Ovis aries: one gene and its partner. The protein of the gene in region 2 purifies or fractionates together with the protein of the main gene of each other region. This does not show direct contact. Links are inferred from orthologs where the notes say so. Each region holds a gene or a part of one and is shown on either strand. Other genes may lie near its edges.

Region 1 (4,171 bases), on a different chromosome or scaffold from region 2:
TAGCAGACGAGAAGAAAAAAAAAAAAAGGAAGATTTCAAGCCCCAAAACTTTTGCCTAAGTACATTTCCTAACGTTTCTGCCTGTATCTCATTAAAAAGCTGGATTAAGAAATGGGGGGCGGGGCATGGTGGGGATAGAACCACAGTATCTACTTTCACAGAAGGTGCATATTGGAGTCCTGCAGACACAATTTATTTGGCCTACATTTAAAAAACTTGGGAAATGCCCTATTAGGGGTAAAAAACAAACAAACAAAAAAAAACCCTAGATGTCTCCTTTACAAATGGAACGTTTGGCCACAGTGGGCCTGTATTCATTACAGGGTGGTGGTTCCGCGGGTGGGGATGGATGGGAAGTAGGGTGTATTTGAGAATGAACTCTGTGATTTCCCATTCCTTACCATTCTGAACGTCTTACACCAACGTTCACTTTGCCTGTCTCACGCCGCAGGCACTGAAATTCCTGCAGTTTATGAAATGGATGCAACGGGTCTTTTTTTAATGGGCAAACCTCTGTTAAGGGGCGGGGGGGGGGGGAATGACTGGTTTTGCTTGCAAACAGTCCTAAATCTGTCGTTTTTCAACGATCTGAGCCTAACCTACTTTTCCCGAATGGCCCGAAGTATGAAACTAAGTATCAAAGGATGGCCCTCGCAGTCGCAGCTGTCACAAGCCAGCCATGTGACCTTGGGCAAGGCCGTTAAACTCTCTTGCCCAAAGGTGATGAAAGGTCTTGAAACGGACTGAATACCTGTTCTGAATACTTCGCAGGGTGGTTGCAGAGCACACACGAGATTCTGAAAGTACTTGTAAGTCATTTATAAACCGCAAAACGCTCCCAGCACAAGCGGCTGTTACCGAGTGCGACACCACGGCTTTAGAAGTTAGGTTACTGAAATCCGCTCTAGTTCTGTGCTGCTCCCACCTCCCACGCTCGGGGGTGGGCGAGCGGAAGAAGGTTCTCGGGAGAATTTCTGGAAAAACGTCTTCGAAATGCAGGGAGAAAAGTCCCTTCACAGGGGTGAAGTTGTTGGCGGCATTTTTAAGCCCCCGAGTGACATACCAACCTCTCGCCGCACAGCCAGAGCCAAAACCGGTCCCCTGAACACCTCCCTGCTCGAAGCCGGGACCTCAGGAAACCGGCCTGAATCCTCCCAGCCAGGCCCCCCGACCCGGGATTCCGGACCTCGCCCTCGTCCCCAACCCCCACTATCGCCTCCCCCGTCCCCCCCTCCACGTGACAAGAGCCGGAACCGTCACTTCCGGCGGCGCAGGCAACGCGCCTGCGCGGGGCGCCTTGCCTCAGTGAGCGGTTGGCAGGGGCGCCGCGCCGCCAACGGCCGCGAGTGGCGGGCGGTGCAGGTTCGGCCGGGGCGGCGGCGGTGCGGTCCAGCGGGTGTGAGGCCTGAGTGGTCCAGCCCACTCCCCGGAGGGACCGGCCGCCCCGCCCCCTTGGCCCTCTCCCTCCCAGGCGCCCTCCTCCGGGGTTCGCGCTCCGGGCGCCTGGCGCGGCGGCGAGGGCGCCCGAGGCACTGGCGGAGGCGGCCGCGTCGCTCCCGCACTCGGGCCCGCCCCCTCGCGCCCCGCCCCGTCCCCGCCCTCCTCGCCGCCCTCTGCGGGAGCCCGGCAGCTGCAGCGGAGCCGCGGAGCGGGCGGCGGGGCCGGGGCAGTGCGCTCGGGGCGCGCGGAATGTGAGGCTCGGCGGGCCGCAGCGCGCACGGACGCTCGGACAGGCGAGGGGCGGTGACCCCTCGCGGACGCCCCGGCCGCGCACGCCGGGCCGGGCGCTCGCCCTCTCGCTCGCCCTTAGGCGCGTCCCGCGCCCTCCAGCGCGCCGGCGGGACCATGAAGAAGTTCTCTCGAATGCCCAAGTCGGAGGGCGGCGGCGGCGGCGGAGCGGCGGGTGGCGGGGCCGGCGGGGCCGGGGCCGGTAGCTCGTCCGTGGGGGTCCGGGTGTTCGCGGTCGGCCGCTACCAGGTCACCCTGGAGGAGTCGCTGGCCGAAGGTACGGGCGCCCGGGGAGGCTCGGGCAGGCAGGTGAGGGAGGGCTGGGGTGTGGCGGTAGCTTCTCCCGTTCTCTCCCGCTTCTTTCCGCGCCTTCGCGGCTCACTCTCCTGCTTTCTCGGCCAAGCCGGCGGGGGCTCGCGCCTAAGTCGGCTTTTCTCGCCGCCGGCAGCTCTGACCCGTGCACAGTTCTTTCAGCACGAGTTTGTCATTTTCACTCCCTCTTGAGGCTGGGAGATAAATAGGAAACGTCTTAGCGAGGGCTGCGGTGTCATGATTGAACCAGTGACTCATTAGAGGTTCAGATCGAGCAGGATTGGGTCTCCTGTCTCCCCGCTGTGGCTCAGTAGGCTGTCCTGCACTAGCCTCTCCACCCGCGCCGCAGGGCTCAGGACCCCGCAGCGCCGGGTGTTCCGCCTGGGTTTGCTCCTGCTCAGTCATCAGTTGAAAAACAATTTATTTCTGTCTGTGCGCGTGCTGGAGGTGATGCTTTGCCCCAGATTTCAGTCAGTGGGTTGCCATGGGGGGAGCAGGTAAACTTGAAGTCCGCTTTGTTGTTTAGAATCTTCTCTATGAGACCAGTCATATCCTTGCTGGACGTCTCTTTGATAGTACTTTAAAAGGCGGTAGGAAAGGTTAACTTTCACTTGAGAAGTTTTGTTTGGGAACTCTCATTATCTTTACCGGGTTATGTCAACAGTTGCAGGGCTGCTTACAAAAAAGTTTACTCTTTTTAAAAAAAGAAAAAAATCTTACACTTTAGTTTTGTGTATCGTGTATAATTGGCTTGTAGGAGATAACTTGTTTTGTCGCGTGTTTCACTGGCTTTTGAGTTTTTAATCGCAGAATGATATTACCAAAAAAATACTTAAATACTTATCAAGAAATAATTTGTTGGTGTGCTTAGTCCCTCACTTGTGTACGACTCTTTGTGACCCCGTGAACAGTAGCCCACCAGACTCCTCGGTCCATGGGATTCTCCAGGCAGGGATACTGGAGTGGGTTGCCATTTTCCTTCTTCAAATTTCTTGGTAAATGGCCCTTTTAAGTTCCAAGATTAAGAGAGAAGAAATCGAAGACAGTAGTTTTGGTTCTCTGAGAGCTAGTTGTTGATGTGGTTTGGAGACAGTAGACTGAGATTCCACTTGTGCTTTTTGAAATGCTGTAAACAATAGCAAATGAGTACAAGAGGAAAAATGAAAGGTTATTGTCTATAACATACTCTAAAGAGAAAGAAGATTTGAATGGTTCAGGGATGGATGCATTGTTTGGCAAGCCATTGCCCCTAGTAATGAGCCTGGCTGAATCTTAGAGAGGTGGGAGGAGGATCTTTAGCTTGTCAAATAATGAGTTGTATGGTAATGGGTGTTGACAGACAGATTTACTACGCTGTGAAAGTTCCTATCGCATTATGTTACAGGAATTTCAAATGTTTTAGTTGTAGCTCAAGCTGTAGGTTTTCAGAAGACATGGCTGTTAACTCGCATGCTGTACTTCTGTCTTTTGAACTGCAGTAACTAATTCAAGTGTGACTTGAGTAATATTACACTCACTTCATTTCACTAAACCCCAGGTGAGTCTTTTATTTAATAGAAGGAAATCATCAACATTTCATGAAAGTAGACTTTGGATTTGTAGCTTTTGCCACTGCTCCATGCATGTCCTGTGATTACTTCTGAGCAAGCTATTTTCAACAAAAAGTAATTTTGGAAAATGCAAATAAAAAATTTTCAAAAGGGGAGTGCTCAACCACACACAAAAAAATTTAAAAGAAAAATTCTTTCAGTCACTAATGTCACTGTTAATGTTCTGCTGCCTTTTGCCATAATTTGTCATTTCTTTTGGAAAAATCTGCAGTCAAGTGTTAGGAGGAAGCAAGCATTGAACCAACTCTTTTGAAAGATGGCACTCCTCCCACCCCCATCCCAACCCCGCCCCCAACACCCCCAGCTCCTGGACCTAGGCTTTTGGCCTTCTGTGGAGGGAAGGCTGAGTCCTTGGTCTTGTTCCCTTATGTATTTCTTTTTCCAGCACACACACAACTGAAATCTATATTCGGTTCACTCTTTGATTCTGACGATATATTGTCATTTCATATGCTTCATATTCTCTCTTCTTTCCAAATATGCCGCAGTGTAGATGTTTAAGTACAAATGTGGTTTACATT
Region 2 (3,970 bases):
TTAGTCATTCAACAAATTTGGGGGAGGCGGGGGGTAGGCCTCAGAGATACAGTTTTGATATTCAGTTCTATACTTTCATAGAACTCTAAAAACATTCTAAATCATTATGACTGCCTTCTTTTCCTTCTACCTCTCTGACTGCTTCTCAGTCCCCTTTGCATTTTGGTTTCCCAGCTTCTGCCTTAGGCTCTTCACATTCTTCTTCTTTCTTGATTAAAGACTTTTTATTATTTTTACTTAGAGCAGTTTTATGTGGGAAGTTTTAGTTTTGAGGGGAAGATACAGAGATTTCTAGGTCTTGGTTTCTGAAAGGGACTTCTTTCGCGTAAGCAAACTCGTAGGTTTTCCTGGTGGCTCATTGGTAAAGAACTCGCCTGCCAATGCAATAGACACGGGTTCAGTCCATGGGTGGGGAAGATCCCTTGGAGAAGGAAATGACAAACCACCCCAGTATGCTTGCCTAGGAAGTCACATGGACAGAGGAGCCTGGTGGGCTACAGTCCATGAGGTCACAAGAGTCAGCTGTGACTTAACTAAAACAATTAACAAAGCATACCTATTACATGCTAGGCTTCTTACCAACCTAATCCGGTTTAAGCTTCATAAACTGGTAAGAGTTATTATCATCGTCTTTATTTCACAAGTAAGAAGACTGAAGTTGAAGAGACAAGTAACTTTCCTAGTCACATTCAGGGCAGGGATTCGGATTCAAATGGATTCACACATAGATTTGAGACCGTCTCAACCTTTTTTCCTTGCACCAGTCTCCTCCAGTTCCACTGCCCTTGTATAATCCTGGGCTGGATCACCACTGTCAGTGTATTTTAATTGCCCAAGGAATTAGCTGGGTTTTGTTGTTTTTTAAAGAAAGCAACAGGCATTTCACTGACTCTGTGTAAGTTTTTAGAGAGGTCTTGTGTGAGGAAACAAATCCAGAGAATGTCAGCTTGTTTACTAGATTCTTTCAGATGAATTTCCTCCGAAGCCTAGATCTCAGATCTCTACCACACCGCGCAAAATTTTTCCGTCTCCAAGGCGACAGAGAGTAGTCCCTCCTTTCTCGTTCTCTCGCGCGTCTGGATGACATCACACGGCGAGGCTCTCTGACGTAAGAGTTTCCTGTCCACCATCTTTGTACCGGGCAAAGTGGGTTTTGCGCAGTGGCTTAGACCTGGAGAAGGAGTCGTGACGTGCAGGAAACCATTACAACATCGCTCGGGCCGTGCTCTCTGGCCGCTGCTGCCACCCCCGCCCTTGCCTACGGTGAGTTGTAGGCGGCTACCTCTGGGGTGTGTCCCTTTTTGATGGGGATGGGGGATCCCCAGACTTGGTTGGAGACAGGCGGAGGAGAGGAAATCCGAGGACCGTGACCGTTGAAGATGGAGTGAGCCGTCGGGTGTGACCGTTGTGAGGAAGAGGGTTGGAGAAAAGGACTCCACCGCTGGGGCGGGGCGAGGGAATCCTCGGGGTGGGAATTGGGGGGTATTGGGGGAAAGATATGTTCGAAGTCGGGGGGTTAAGAGGGTCAGAGGCCAGGGGTGTGGCTGGCGGAGACCGGAGGCCAAGGAGAGAACCTTGCTTCTTCCCGGTTTGGCGTCGTTCTCTGAGAGGCTAGGTAGGACATGCTCAGCTCAGGAAAGGGAAAAGGGGTTCCCCAGAGCTTTGCTCCTAGATGGGTAAACCTCGCCGTCGCCCGTCATTTGAGGTTAAGAGACGCCTCTCTGCTTCGTAATGGAGGAACATAGCCGTAGAATTTTTACCACCTCGGGAAAGAAGAGGAATTCCTGACTCCGAAGATAGGGAAGAAAAACCCAGAGAATTGACCCGATATGAGAGAGGGGGAAGCTCTTGAGAGTAAATGTTAGCCCGGAGTTTTTTCTTCGGGGTCTTAGAAGGAACGGTCTGGTTTGAGAAAGGCTGTGGATTAGACAGAGGTAAAGAAACTGGAACTTCCTGTTAATTCCATTTTTTTTTTAATCCAAAGAGTTTATTCATGCTGTTAGTTTTTAACAGCACTCTTCTATTTGGGGGCAGACTCTTTTTTAAACTCCATTATGAAGCGGTGTGAATAAAATGTGGCTGCTTCATTAAACTTTTCACTTTTAAAGGTTTTAAAAATGCCAAAACACTGTTAACAATCCTTGTAGTTTAAAGAGAAAGTAAAAAAAAAAAACGCAGTAAGTTTAGAAAAGATAGAATGACCAAGAAAGTGGTCTCAGTGAGGAACAATTTAAATTATTAATCACCTTCCTGGTATACTTGTGTTGCTTAGCTTCAGGGTACACTTACAAAGTAATAATAGAAAGCAGCAGATGAAGGAGATGCAGCTGTGCAAGAAAACGTGTAACACTTTGCCAGTGGTGACTAAGCCTGGTGGGAACGTGAGAACTGTTTACAGGTATTTGACAGTTTAAACTCCCAAAGAAGCCGAAAGTAGAGGGTGTTCTGCAGATAGCTTCACTGAAAGCTGGATGGTAAAATTAGTATAAAGCTAACATTCTGTGAGGGCTTCCCTGGTGGCTCGCCTGCAGTAGGCGTGGGTTTGGTCCCTGGCTTGGGAAGATCCCCTGCAGAAGGCAATGGCAGGCCACCGCAGTGTCCCTTCCTGGGAAATCCTATGGACAGAGAAACCTAGCAGGCTTCAGTCCATGGAGCTGCAAAACAGTAGGATGTGACTTAACCACTAAACAACATTCTGTGACTTAAGAGACTCAAGAAAACCTGGTTCTTCCATCTTTTTTTTTCCTTCTTTAAACACACCTGTATTTTTAGTCAGTTCAGTTACTCAGTCGTGTCTGACTCTTTGCCACCCCATAGACCGCAGCACTCCAGGCCTCCCTGTCCATCACCAACTCCCGAAGTTTACTCAAACTCATGTCCGTTGAGTCAGTGATGCCATCCAGCTATCTCATCCTCTGTTGTCCCCTTCTCCTCCTGCCTTCAGTCTTTCCCAGCATCAGGGTCTTTTCCAGTGAGTCAGCTCTTTGCATCAGGTGGCCAAAGTATTGGAGTTTCAGCTTCACCATCAGTCCTTCTAGTGAATGTTCAGGACTAATCTCCTTTAGAATGGACTGGTTGGATCTCCTTGTAGTTCAAGCGACTCTCAAGAGTCTTCTCCAACACCACAATTCAAAAGCATCAATTCTTCGGTGCTCAGCTTTCTACCTGTGTTTTAAAATATTACATTTAAGGCACAGTTCTGAATCAAGCTGAACAAGTAACAAATTAGGAAGGACACATTTTCTTTTCTTCCTTCTCTCTCTCCAGGCGTTAAGTTTTCCAGAGTTTATTTCAATTAAGAATTGGATGTGAAACTTAAGACCTTTTTTCTTACTGTATGATATTAGCAGAGTACTTTGTAGTTAAATGGGAATGATAGGTATGTCTGTTGTAATGAGTTATCTGTTGTAATTTTGTATGCAATAAATGATACATGAAGATGTGTTATTGAAATGTGTAATTAGCACTTCTCATCCTTATGCTTGTAATGAAAGATTACTAAGATGACCTGTCCACTTTATAATTTGGTTTAATTCTGTTCACTTTTTCCCTACGGGCACCAGCTGTGTAAAATCCAACTTCACGTGAAGAGAGTGGATTTACTGGCCTCACCAACTCTAAATTAGCTGCTATTTCCCAGAGAGCCATTCGGAGTTAAGACCCCTATTAATTTTTTTCTGGCCTTATTCTCTTTAGGGGCACCAGAAGGAAGGAGGGATAGTTGAGAAGGGAAAACTGTCACAGCCTATATTTAGTAGAAACTAGGTTATGTTAAATCTAGATGTGTAATCCTGTACAGAGAGGCCTTTTCTGAAATGCAGTGACATCACACTCTGGGCTAGGAAAGTTAGAGAAATTGTGCATTTGACTCTGTCAGCCTCATTTATGTTTTAAAACGATGTCCTGAGGCCATACCTCAAGCCGGTAGAGCAGCCGATGGATGACTTGTCTAGTTTGACCTGGTAAAAAG

The links. Proteins that work in one complex are often made in the same cells at the same time.
Region 1: the proteins of AP2B1 (region 2) and BMP2K purify together in Homo sapiens (affinity purification with mass spectrometry; 3 studies listed by BioGRID and IntAct, with this or other methods). This does not show direct contact. The link is inferred for Ovis aries from reciprocal best matches to the Homo sapiens genes AP2B1 and BMP2K.

What each region holds. Positions count from the first base shown.
Region 1 is NC_056059.1:94,247,307-94,251,477, forward strand, and holds the start of BMP2K (BMP-2-inducible protein kinase), read left to right. Parts: upstream 1-1,369; 5' UTR 1,370-1,845; coding exon 1,846-2,005; exon of another isoform or gene 2,006-2,037; intron 2,038-4,171. UniProt on the Homo sapiens protein: May be involved in osteoblast differentiation.
Region 2 is NC_056064.1:14,480,624-14,484,593, reverse strand, and holds the start of AP2B1 (AP-2 complex subunit beta), read left to right. Parts: upstream 1-1,167; 5' UTR 1,168-1,407; exon of another isoform or gene 1,408-2,398; intron 2,399-3,970. UniProt on the Homo sapiens protein: Component of the adaptor protein complex 2 (AP-2). Adaptor protein complexes function in protein transport via transport vesicles in different membrane traffic pathways.